Mus musculus: one gene and its partners. The protein of the gene in region 2 interacts with the protein of the main gene of each other region in a pairwise test. Links are inferred from orthologs where the notes say so. Each region holds a gene or a part of one and is shown on either strand. Other genes may lie near its edges.

The links. The genes of interacting proteins can lie anywhere in the genome.
Region 1: the proteins of Wipf1 (region 2) and Wwp2 interact in binary tests that used the Homo sapiens proteins (3 or more experiments, as listed by UniProt). The two-hybrid records come from large-scale screens. The link is inferred for Mus musculus from reciprocal best matches to the Homo sapiens genes WIPF1 and WWP2.
Region 3: the proteins of Wipf1 (region 2) and Fastk interact in binary tests that used the Homo sapiens proteins (3 or more experiments, as listed by UniProt). The two-hybrid records come from large-scale screens. The link is inferred for Mus musculus from reciprocal best matches to the Homo sapiens genes WIPF1 and FASTK.

Annotation. Positions count from the first base shown.
Region 1 is NC_000074.6:107,434,753-107,439,187, forward strand, and holds the start of Wwp2 (NEDD4-like E3 ubiquitin-protein ligase WWP2), read left to right. Parts: upstream 1-1,617; 5' UTR 1,618-1,689; intron 1,690-4,397; exon of another isoform or gene 4,398-4,435. UniProt on the Homo sapiens protein: E3 ubiquitin-protein ligase which accepts ubiquitin from an E2 ubiquitin-conjugating enzyme in the form of a thioester and then directly transfers the ubiquitin to targeted substrates.
Region 2 is NC_000068.7:73,435,461-73,439,116, forward strand, and holds part of Wipf1 (WAS/WASL-interacting protein family member 1), read right to left. Parts: intron 2,232-3,656; coding exon 1,494-2,231; intron 1-1,493. UniProt on the Homo sapiens protein: Plays a role in the reorganization of the actin cytoskeleton. Contributes with NCK1 and GRB2 in the recruitment and activation of WASL.
Region 3 is NC_000071.6:24,442,418-24,446,654, forward strand, and holds the start of Fastk (fas-activated serine/threonine kinase), read right to left. Parts: upstream 2,819-4,237; 5' UTR 2,731-2,818; coding exon 2,649-2,730; exon of another isoform or gene 2,170-2,648; intron 1,979-2,169; exon of another isoform or gene 1,889-1,978; coding exon 1,478-1,888; intron 1,135-1,477; exon of another isoform or gene 1,089-1,134; coding exon of another isoform or gene 1,040-1,088; coding exon 860-1,039; intron 727-859; coding exon 587-726; intron 1-586. Other genes in the region: Tmub1 (transmembrane and ubiquitin-like domain-containing protein 1 precursor), read right to left, coding at 3,505-3,856, 4,117-4,237. UniProt on the Homo sapiens protein: Phosphorylates the splicing regulator TIA1, thereby promoting the inclusion of FAS exon 6, which leads to an mRNA encoding a pro-apoptotic form of the receptor.

The sequences.
Region 1 (4,435 bases), on a different chromosome or scaffold from region 2:
AGCGGGTAAGAGCACTGACTGTTCTTCCGAAGGTCCTGAGTTCAAATTCTAGCAACCACATGGTGGCTCACAACCACCCATAATGGAATCTGGCGCCCTCTTCTGGTGTGTCTGAAGACAGCTACAGTGTACTTATAATAATAAATAAATAAAATCTTAAAGAAAGAAAGAGAGAAAGAAAGAAAACAGAGACATAATCCACCAAAGTCCCCAGTTCTGGGAAAGTCTCTAGATGCATTCATCTCGCCTTTTGGCTTCTGTAGTTCTGTTGCTGTTTCTGCTAACTGGAGCATGTCGACCCAGGACGCGAATTTTGCGCTTAAAACCTCGCCCCGAGAAAGGCTTGATACTACACAGGGATCCTGAACACCCAGTGTAGTCACAGGGTGGCTAATAAAGACTTTCTCTTGGTAGATACCCCACAGCAAAGACACCGGACACACAGGTGGTACACAGATACACTTCAAGAGAAACATCTATGTAATAAAATACAAATGAAAATGTAATATTTCAGTTAACAAAAACCCAACAAAAATCCAGGTAATCAGAACAATTAACTCGGTGGTGGATGCCAGCCTAGGTTACATAAAATCTTGCCCCACCTGTCTCCTCTCTCACCCCTAACCCTCCACCCCAATGGTATAAACTGGTAATCCTAACTACTCAGAAGCTAAGGCAATGGAATTAAAAGTTCTTGGCCAGTTGGAGCATTTAAAATAAGACCCTGTTCCAAATAAAAACCAGAAAGGAAGCAAAATGGCTGGGAACATAGGTCAGTTGGGACGCCCTGGACTAGTCACGTTCAACTGTCAATCTTGCAAAACCCAGAAAGTTTCTGTTGTCCAGGCTACGGTGAGGTATGTCTACAATGCCAGGAATCAGGTGGCCAAGGACAGCGCTGGGTTCCAGGTCAGCCAGGGTTACTTACATAGATTCCCTGTTTGTTAATTCATAATGTTCAGTTTACTCCGTAGGGGAGGGGAGCGGGGGGGGGGGGATGGGAGTTGGTTCCCCATGGGGAAGACACGTAGGGACTCCGGAAGTTTTGAAAGGGTGTCAGGTTGTCGTGTGTCATGTCCCATGCTCCACTCCCGTCCCTCTTTCCAGTTTTGCTTCTTGGAACAACAGATGCCTTACAAAGGCCAGGGCATTTATACTTCTAGAACTGAGAACAAGGCCTTACAGAGTTGGCACAAGCTAACGACATTACATGGGATGCTCAAGTTTGATCAGTATACATCTGTGGTACCAAAACATCCTTTGCAAATTTGGGGACATGCTTAGAGTTACACGGTTTATCTGACACTCAAGTTTGGAGGGGGGGAGCGTACTGTTTTTTATCCAGCAACTCCTTCAAGACTTGACTTAACTGATCGGATGGTCTTCTCCCACCTGTACCATGGCGGGAAAACAACTGTACTTGCTTCCAAAGGCATACATAAAGACCCCGGGGCCCGGTGAGCCCTTATTTTATACGTTTGCTCGGGCACAGCCCGGGTGATCCTTGCAATCCCGGCCCTGAGCGGGTCAAACGCTCGCCGCCCGGGTCCTAGGTGGTCCGCACCTGCGCGCCCCGGCCAGCCTCTTCCGGGTCAGGTGACCGCGCACGCCCACGTGACCCGGCCCGAGTGCGGGCGCTGGAAGGCGGAAGTGGAGCGGAGTTAGGCGCCGCTGGTGTGGCCGCGGCAGGTAGGTGGCGCGGGGGCACTGGGGGGCTCGGCAGCGAGCGGGCGGCGCGGGGCAGCCAGGGGGCGGCGGGCGGCGCGAGGGGCCGGGGGCGGCGCGGGGCGGGCGCCGGGGGGCGGCGGCTTCCTGTGGGAGGGGCCTGGCGCGCGGTTCCGGCCTCCGAGGAGGGATGTCCCGGCTCGCGCCCGGGCGGGGTGGGCGCGGGGCCCGGCGGGAGTCGCCCGCTGGTGGCGCTTCCGGAAGGAGACCCCCAGCCCCGGGTGCCTGCGGTGCGGAGGAGCCGTGTCTGTCTGGGAAGGGGGCCCGACCTCAGCCGGGGAAGACTCATTTGCTCCCTGGAAGGGGCTGCCTGGGAGTGGGCGTCTGGCTTGTAGGGACAGGGAGAAAAAAATCTGGACGATGCGGCCTGGACCCCATTCCAAGAGTCTTTTTTCCTTCCGTCCTCTTTAAAAAGGATGGCGATCCGGGACTTTGATACCGGTTCTGTTCAGTTCTTTAAACTTCAGGAGGGATCCCTGAGTCTTGATCGTCTGACTCTGGTCACACCCACTTTGCCCTGTTTGGGTAGGGTTTCCACTTGTTGGGAACCTTGCCCATCAGATCGTCTTTCTTTGAGATGCTCCCGGATCGGGTCATCTTGGAGGCCACCAAAAAAAAAAAAAAAAAAAAAAAAAAAAAGACGTGTAGGTGCTTTGCTGTGATCATAACAAGACTTTTAACCTACACTGTTGTTGGCGACCTGGGCCGGCGTTACCTCAGCAACGCATTGACTGCTGAAGTCATGGACAGTTGAAAGTCTGCCCATACCGATTTGAGACCTCTCAAGCTTAAATTATGCAGCTTCCTTTACCATGTGACTGCTTATCTTGACCAGCTGTGACTAGGTGGGGTGACTGAGAAGTTTCTCTTGTGTTCCTTAGAACTGTGACCTAGATCGTAGTTTTTGAGGTTAAAAATACCCATCTTAAGATTCTTCATCCTCTAGGCCTAGGCCTGAAGATGGCTCCAAGTTCCAAGCCAGCCTAAATAAACAAACAGGCCACCCTCTTTTCCCTTCACTTTTGCTAAGGTTTGCAGAAGTGAAGCAAAGTTTATGAATGCAACGAAGGTCAGGGTTCAAATGGGACATTGACAGGAGCCAGAATCACAGGTCGCTAGGGGGGAAAAAGCACTTTGCATTAATATATTAGGAGTTGAAGACTTGGGGGGTATATTATAAGCATTTAAAAGTTAATTTTTGTAGCAGTCTCGAGAAGTCATTCACACTTTATAGATAACAAGCTAAGAGAATTGACTTAAAATAAAAGATGTATTTTTATTTGTGTGTATGTTCCTGTGTGTATGTGCCCACCAAGGACAGACAGAGCATTGGGTCCTTTGGAGCTAGAGATACAGGTGGTTGTGAGCCTCTGGATTTGCATGCTGGGAACTGACCTTTGGTCCCGTGGAAGAGCAGTGAGTGCTTTCGCCTGCATCTCTTTAGTCTCAGCCTGCCTGACATCCTCATTTTGTTTTTCTTCCTTGTTTACTGTCTTCCTGCTAGGACTGTAAATCATTCAAGGGCAGTGATCTTATTTTACCTGACTTCTTTGGCTACTAGCCCCAGGCCTGGTATGTTAGGAGTACTTGGTCAGTGTTTGAGAAGTAAATGAGTTTTTAAAGGTCACACTGCTCGGTGTATGTGGAGAACAAGGGGTTAGAGCATAAGTTTCCCGTCCCTTTCTCTGTTTAGTGTTACTGGTCTATGGAAAGCCAGAACCATGAGGAGAAGGCTTCAGTTGGCTTGTCAGTCTCTTAATTTTTTGTTGTTGTTGAACATTGCACCTTCCCACTTCCCTTCTTTTTGTAATTTTTTATTTTATTTTTTTCCTTTTGAGACAGGCTCTCAGTAAGTTGCCTGGGGTGGCCTCAAACTCCTGTAGCTCAGGCAGGCCTTGAACTTGTGATCCTTCTGCCTCCAACACAACAGTAGTTAGGATTTGAGGCCAATACCACCAGGTCTATCTTAGTCTTTCATTTAGTGACTACATCCCCATCTGCAAAGAACTGATACCAGATTCTCATTTATTTTTATTTTGGTTATTTATTTGAGACAAAAGTTTTACTGTGTAGACCTGGCTGGCCTAGAACTCATAAAGATCCAGCTGTTTCTACCTCCCAAGTGCTGGGATTAAAGCTGTGCGCTATTTACTATGCTCAACCTCTCTCCCTGTCCGGTCCAGCCAGTCCCCTCCCCTCCCTTCTCCCCCCTCCCCTCCCTTTCTCTCTGAGACAGGGTCTTTTAGCTTTTTGATAGAAGGTAGGTTTTAGCCCAGGCTGGCCTCAAACTGGTTATGTTGTGGAGGAACTTACGATAGATTCTCTACCTTCCAAGACCTGGGGTCGCAGGCCTTCATTCACCATTGTGCCTGGCTCAGCGTCTCGTCTCATTCATTTCCAGATCTCTGAAGGTTGCATTGCTTCATTCACAGATGAAGAACTGAGGCTTACTGAAGTCCTGATATTAGATTCTGGAACTAGTAAATAAATGCAAGAGTTGGCTCTCTCCTTCTATGGGTCCTGGGAACTGAGTTCCAGTTGTCAGGCTTGCTGGCAGTCACCTTTACCCAATGAGCCACTTTCTCTATAACCTAGGTCTGTTCTTCTTAGACCTATTACTTTTAATTCATAGAAGCGATAAAAAGTTTCTTTTTTTTTTTTTTTTTTTTTTTTAAAGTACAACTTCCATTTTATTTTTCCAGGGTAGTTT
Region 2 (3,656 bases):
ATACCACAAAAGAATTGTTTAAAAGGAGTGAGATACTTATAAAGTTAGTTTAGGCCTTTAGAAAAATTAAGATTTCTAGATTTTAAAAAATTTAAAACCAGGCAGTGGTGGTGCGTGCCTTTAATTCCAGCACTTGGGAGGCAGAGGCAAGGCAGATTTCTGAGGCCAGCCTGGTCTACAGAGTTCCAGAACAGCCAGGGCTACACAGAGAAACCCTGTCTCAAAACCAATACACACACATATATAATAAAATAAAAATGTAAATTATTTGTGCGTATATGTGTGCACACACTATGTCACACATATGGAGTTCAGAGAGCAGCTTTAGAAAGTTTACTTTTGCCTTACATCTTCACCTGGATTCCAGGGGTCAAACTCAGGTCGTCAGGCATGGGCCACAAATATCCTTACTGGCTGAGCCCATTGCCTTGCTGGCTCCAGTACTAAGTTTTTACATGTACAGTATTTTCCTCTGTGTGTGTGTGTGGTTGTATGTATGTGTGAGTGTTGGTTGTGTTTATGTGTGTGTGGTGTGTGTGTAGTATGTGTGTGGGTGGGTGGGTAGAGAGGCACAGGAAATGAGAAACCACTGATCTTACTCTCCCATTACAGACAGTAGGTGGTGGGTCCGGCTCCTGGGTATGCTCTTGGCAGTGGAGCGTGGGTCCCTGTCTACCAAGAATAAGGTAGTTGTCACCTTGGTCACAACAGTGCCAGGAGCAATAACTGAAAAGGCAAACTAAAAGTATTACATACAATCCAGCACTCCAGAGGCAGAGAGAGGTGGATCTCTATGAGTTTAAGGCTAGCCTGGTCTACAAATTGAGTTCCAGGCTAACCAGGGTTACATGTGAGGGCCTGTCTCAAAAATACTTAGATATAAAATAAAGATATATGTGTGTGTGTGTGTGTGTGTGTGTGTGTGTGTGTGTATACATATACATATACATATATATATATGTATGTGTGTGTGTGTGTGTATTACCAACACATTTGAAACCACTTTCTAAATAAGATGTACGTTTCCTCCTGAGCCTGGGGCTCCCGCAGCTCTCTGAGCCGAGCTACAGGCTTTTGTCCAGGTATTTGTTTCCACTGCTAGAAGTGCTCCTGACCTCTGAACATGCCACCTCTCCAGCTCGCCTGCACTGTGGGCAGAGATGTAGACTCAGCCTGGCCTAGGGAGAGGGAAAGAGTTCATTCCGGTTGTGATGTAACTGCTTTGTCTTTGGCATTATGGGCACTCTCATGGGGACTTACTTCCAACCAAGACAACCCAGCTTCCCATTAGGGAGCAGGGCCCGGTGGAAGATGAAAGTCTGCTTGCCTCTTAGACACAAACTATCTGGCCCCTTTCTTGAGAGGTCACGGCTCCACCATGACATTAGACCATCGGTATGGGGCAGCATACATGGCTTTACTCAGTTTTGTTTGAGACATTTGGGAGAGCAAGAGCAGGGTTTTAGAGAGGTGACATCCCCGCGTTGCCATACCTGATCTGCCTGGTGGATCCCTTACAGGAGGAGGGGGCCTCTCGCTGGGTGGGGGAGGGAGAGGCCCTGAGCGTCCAGGTGAAGGCAATGGAGGTGCAGAGGACGTGAGGGACAGGTTCCGCTGTGGCAGCCTGGGGATCTCGTCGTTGGAAGCTGGAGGCAGAGGAGGGGGCCCTGGCCGGCTGGGCGGTGGAGGAGGAGGTGGTGCCTGCGAACCCAACCCAGGCCGCGGGGTGGAAGGCACTGGAGGTTTGCTGGTCTGTGAGGGGGGAGGGGGCACCGCTTCTCTGTGCATGGAGGGCCTGTTGCCCACGGGAGGAGGTGGTGGAGGGGGCTTGTCATCCAAGGCTCGGCTTGGGGTGGGGGGCAAAGGGGGCCTAGGAAACGGAGAGGAGGAGCCGGAGGGGTTCTGGCGCGCAGAGCCTGCTCCAAAAGCAGCACCTCGGTTCCCGGGAAAGGGGGGCCTGGGGGCTCCCAGCCCTGCTGGGGATCCCCGGTTGTGCAGACTCGACGGAACAGGTCTTGGCGTATTTGGTACCGGAGGGGGAAGGCTATCTGGTTTTGAGCCCACGTCAGGCCTCGGGGGAGGCATTCTGTTCCTGGGTGGCTCTGGGGGCCCACTCCTGTGGCCTGGGGAGGGTGCGGGAAACCTCCCCGGGCCACTCGGGGGTGAAAAGGGCTTGGCAGATGTGGCTCTTCCTCCCGGTGGCAAAATCGGTGGTCGGCTTCCTCCAGAATCTAAAGAACAAGAAAGCGGATACGGATTGAAAAGTGAGGAGCCCCCCAAAACCCAGAGGGCAAGGGTGCGTGCTGGCCCTTTCCCACTGAGCACTGATTACCAGTAACTAGTAGCTTTATAATAAAACAAATTGTTTGATATGTTGGTGTCCATCTCCTGGAGGCGGAGATATAGCTCTATTTATCAGGCACTGGTTTTACAGCCAGAGTTTCAAAAGCATGCAATACCGCATCACCTGCTATAGTTCTGGAAATGTCGCTGTGACTAGAAGACAGAACAGGGCAGCATGGAGAACCTTCTGCTTCTGCTAATGGCTGTCATGGATCTCCCTGAGCCCACTGCTCAGATTTGGGGGAAAAAAATGTTCAGTCAGCCATCTTAGGTGTGTGAATGGAGTTACTCCAAAGAAAGTCTCTCTCTGTGTGTGAGGGTTTATCTAGTCCCTTTGAGAAAAAAAAAAAAAAGTTCAATAAATGTGGGTGGGGTGGAGTGGGAAGGATTTAGTGAAGAATTATGACTACATTAAAAATAATTAGAAAGGAAAACTTTGTATGAGTAAGAACTTCATTGCAAAGTAGGCAAGCGTCTTCTCAGGACTAGGCCAACCCTCAGTATTGGGAAGATGTAACAACTCTGTAACACTTGCTGAAACAAGTGTAGTGGAATTTGGTCACACTAAACTATGGTTTAAGGAGGGACTAAGTGGGGGAGAGAGGAGGGGCTCTCAACAGCCTCTCCCCAAATTGGAAACCCAAGTTAATTCTTTTTTTTAACATTCATTTATTTTTATTTTATGATTATGGGTGTTTTGCCTTCATGCACCAGATGTTTTACAGTGCCCTTGCAGGCCAGAAGAGGGTGTTGGATCCTCTGGGGTTAGAGTTACAGAGAACTGTCAGCTGCTATGTGGTGCTGGGACTCAAGGCCAGGTCCTCTGAGAGAGCAGCCGCTGCTCTCAACACCTGAGCTGCCTCTCCAGTCCCACAAGGTCATTCTTGAAAAAAATGGTTACCATGGAAACATCTTCCACTTTAACCAGGAATTAAGTAACACACAAATATTTACCGCACACCCATTTTCCTAGATGTTAGAAACAGCTGGATGAGCAAAATAAAAACAGTTCTCTTTCCTGTCTTTTCTGTTCTTATGGGAAACAAATGATATGCAAGTGAAGAAGCCTTGTCTAATAGTTGTTAGCACAGAAAGGAAGCTGACCGATCAAGAGTGCTCAGAGGGGCCAGGCCTGGTGGGGGAGCTGCAGACAGTGGTGCCCCTGAGGAGAGGTTGTGAGTGGAGGCCTAACAAGTAGCCAGCGTTGGGAAGACGAGGCAGTGCACACTTCAGGTAGAGGGAGTAGGTGGTATAATCCTGCCCACTGGCTTACGCTATGTCTTCCAAATTCACATAGAAGCTGAAGTTACCAT
Region 3 (4,237 bases), on a different chromosome or scaffold from region 2:
CCAGCAGGAAACTCCGCTCTGTGTCTTTCTTACTTTCTCCCATTTGAGACAGGGTCTTTCTATGTCTCTAAAGCTAACCTGGAACTTGCTATGCAGACCAGGCTGGCCTCGAACCCAGAGTCTCCTGCTACTGCCGCTGTGCCAGGATTAAAGGCACATGCCACTATGCCAAGCTCTCTGGCATGTTTGATAGGTACAACCTCAGGGAGGCCTGGTTGAGTCAGTAATTGCTTTCAAGGCAGAATGCCCTCCGTATCAGCACATGCCCCAAGTTCTGCAGCTTAAGCAGTGTCTTGAGCTACATATCATAGTAGGAACATAACTGTGGGGTATGGCTCACAGGACTAGAGCAGAACTAAGCAGCTATGCAGGAGCGTTGGAAAGTTTCAAGGCCTTAGACATACTACTCTACTGATTATGGGAGTTGGAAAACCAGTGAGCAAGAGACAGATGTCCTGGGGTAAGGAACACAGCCTAGCTGGAATGCTTGCTCCAGGAGAAGCCAAACAAGCTGGATAGGGGCTGGGCCTGACCAAGTTGCTAAGGACAACTCAGAGAAACGTGGAAGGGTGGGGGGCCAGCCCACCTTGCTGTTGAGCTGGGCTTCCTGAACCACCAGGAAATGAGCAATGGCTTCCAGAAGTTGGGGTTCCCGCAAGCGGTGCCGGGCCAGGTGTTGGGCCAGAAGCACCATTACGTGAGGAGTCAGTTCTTCTGGCCTTGCCTCTGTGAAGAACAGCCTGTCATACAGTGTCTTCAAGGAAGACTCCTGTGGGCTAGATTGCACTCTAGCCCAGGTGGTTCATCCCAGTGGCTTCATCTCATCCCTTGCCTCCCTTCTGCCTTTAACCCTTGGCACCTGCCAGGCTTCTGATCAGATGCTGACGAGGGTACTGCAGGAAACGGGGGCAGCTCAGGGCCACTTCCAACCTTTGACCACCATAGATGGCAGGCCGATGTGGGGAGGGTGGCTTTGGAGGGAGACGGGACCTGCGCTCCTGCTCGAGGGCACACAGGAGTGGTCCATCTGATGGAAAGCCTGAGAGAGGGATGAAGACCATCCTGGTAAGAGAGCTGGGGTGTGCCATCTTGCCAAGTGGAGTGAATGAGTCCCCAAATTCCTTGTCATCGTTTCTTGAATGGGAAAATACTTGTTTCAGTGGAGTGATTTGGTATCATGTGAGCATGATGTATCAACAGTGTGTGGGGAAAGCCTTATACAAAAGTCACCTTGTGCCGAGTATAACAGACTATACGTCTGTGGCTCCCTAGAGCACTGTATTAGGAAGAACCTAGTACCCGGCAGTTAGAAAGATGCTGCTTGACTTGGACATCCACCATGGATACAGAGAGCAATCAGCAAATGTGCTTGGGGAGGTGAATGGGAACATGAGTTTTATCAATGGCTTGGGTCCTCTACTGCTCTCTCTTCCTCTATTCTTCCCGAAACACCCACACCTTCCAATACCCTCCTCACCAAGTAACACTGCAAGGTGGAGACACACATGGATGGTGTGAACGTCAAAGGAGGGGCAGTTTCGGATGATGAGCTGACTCAAGTCCTGCAGTGTGGCCTGCTCCACAGGAGAGGGCCTAGGCTGAGACACCAAGAGCTGGCCCAGACGCCGGAGTGCCACAGGGTAGTGATGAGCTCGCACCTTGGTGGGGTTCTGGCTCAGCCATCGCAGTAGCTCCCCAGGGCTCCGTGCCTGTTCCAGAAGCCGTTGAAGGCCTTGCACAGGGCCTCCTCCAAAAGGCCGGTCCCCGGACTTGCTGGGTCCCAAACAACAGGGCTGTACTGGTGGGATGAGCAGCAAACCAGACAGCCGAGCAGGGGAAGTCTGGGCAGAGAGCAGGATTCGAAGCATGGAGCTGGGTGGTGGAGACCCTGAGGGGGTGGCCCAGAAAACCAGGTGAGGTTTCCTCCAAGGGGAAAAATATGCTATCTAGTCCTTACCTGACTCCCCATCCAAAGGGCCTGAAGTTTAAAAAAAAAAAAAATCCCGTGTGATTGCCCTGGTATTCTTACCCAGTCTGCCCCTCTTCTCCCATTCCTTGACACAGAAACCCTAATTCTTTAAGTGTGCTCAGTGCAATTCTATTCACATTTCACATGCATATCGCCTTCGATGCTCCGTGCAAGCTGATGAGGAGTCTCAGGGCTGTTACCTCATTTCTCAGGCGGAGAAACAGGCCCAGAGCGGCGGAGAGGTTAAGCCTGAGGTCATTCACAGGGCTAGTGGTCGCACCCAGCCTGGGAGCCCCGGTGGTCCGGGCGATGAGCCCTGAAGACCACCTCCCCGTCCCGCAGGAGGCGGCGGCGGCGGGGTGGGTGGAACGCAGGCTCAGTAGCGGGCCGGTGCTGGGTCCCATGCTGGGCGCTCCCACTTACCAGCTGCGTGACCTTGAACTAATGTCTTCGCCTCTCTGCCTAAGCCTCCTCACTAGTGAAATGAGAACACAGCGCAAGCTCGCGGGGCGCGCGCCGAGCCCGAGTGAGCTATCTGCCAAGGCGCGGAGCTGATGCTGTCCGCGGGAGGGGCCCCCACACCCTGTCCCGGCCCCAAGAGGCGAGCAGCCCGTGGTCACCACCACTAACACCAGCTCCCGCCGCCCTCCCGAGGTCCGCCCCTCAGGCGCCACCCTACATGACTCCCCGGGCCCCGCGTAGGTCACTCTCTCAGCTGGTCTTGGGGCCCGGGAGCCGGGCTCCCCCCGCGGCCTCCTCATCAGCGGGCCACCGAGTCCGCCATCTTCCCAGCAGCCCCCGGATCGCCCCCAGACGCCAATCGCAGTCCAGCGCCAGGGCGGCGGAGACGTGGCTCCCAGCAGGCGCTGCGAGCAGAGGAGCCGCGAGCCCCGCCCTCCGCTTCCGGGAAATGCGCACGTCGCGGGGGCGGGGCCACAGAGCTTGCGCTGAAAGGTGCCGGGAGTGGCGGTCCTCTGTCCAGCCCTGGGGTAGCTTGAGCACTCAGGACCTAGGGCAGGTTCCATTCTCGTAGAACAAGGGCTCCCCACCCTCAAGCAACACACAGACACACTGGGTAGGAAAACGTCACAGTTTCTTTAATCTGCACAAATTCCAGAAAACAACTCTGCCCCTCTCGATTCCCCTTCACCAGTCTCCCAGTCCACCAGTTTCCAATTCAGCCTAGGCAGCTCTTTGAAACTAGAAGTATCTAGATCCTCTGTCAGCACACTAAGATGGGCCCATTGGGGTGCCCTGGCGGCCAAGGCAGCGACAGCAAGTGCCTGATCCAGAAGAGCCCACTGCCAGCGAAGGCTGAGGTCCAGCAGCCCCAGGAGATGGCCTAGAGCTATGAAGATCACACGGAGCGGCCTCCGCTAACACCCGAAGTCCTCTGCGGCGCAAAGCTGGGCTCCAGGGTAGTGGGAAAAGACAGGCAGCGGGTGAAGTGGGCCTGGGCAGACAGCAGCTCCCTTTGCGCCTTGGGGAATGAGGTCCAGAGGGGCTGGCTACACTGCCAAAAGCCCGTGGAGGCACTACGGCCGATACATGGCAAAGGCCAGGAGACTGAGGAGCAGGGTGAAGCCGGCCAGACCCAGGGTAGCGGTCAGGGGAAAGAAGGGCCGGTACTGGATCTGGCAGTACCAGAGCAGGAGCAGCAGCAGAAGCAGCAGGGGCAACAGAAGGCTGCCGATTTCCAGCCCGGAGGGGCCGGGCTCTGACCCCGGTGGGCAGGGAGGATGTGGGGGACCGACTCTCGTGGACACGTGGCAGTGGAGAACGCAGTTGGGGGGCAGGTGGAGACTGCCTAGTGTCTGAGTGTCGTCTCCTAGCAGTTGACCTTGGTAGATGAGCCGAACCTGCTGTTCCTGGCCTGGAAACTGGGTCCTGAGGAGAGAGGGACCTGGGTAAGAGAGCAGGCCTCAGGCAGTCCTGGCCCATTGTTCAGAGGACCAATCCCAATTTTCACCACCCCTACACCTGACCACCCAGATCCTGGCCTCTGGGGGACAGATTAACAGGAATGGTGTATAATGTGAGGAGACAGATTTTTCAAACAGAAAATAAGGGAGAGCTTCATAGGGTGACCCTTCTATAGACACCCACCCCATTTTTAGCATTTTGTTCTTACCCTCTTCCCAGCTTACCTTTTTAAGGAGCCAATGGTGTCCTGAGGCCAGGCCCTGGCTACCTGCTCAGAGTCATTGAGAAATTTCAACCGTAGAAGTAGGGGTTCCTGCGGAGAGTCTGGAGGTGTTGATGCTGTGA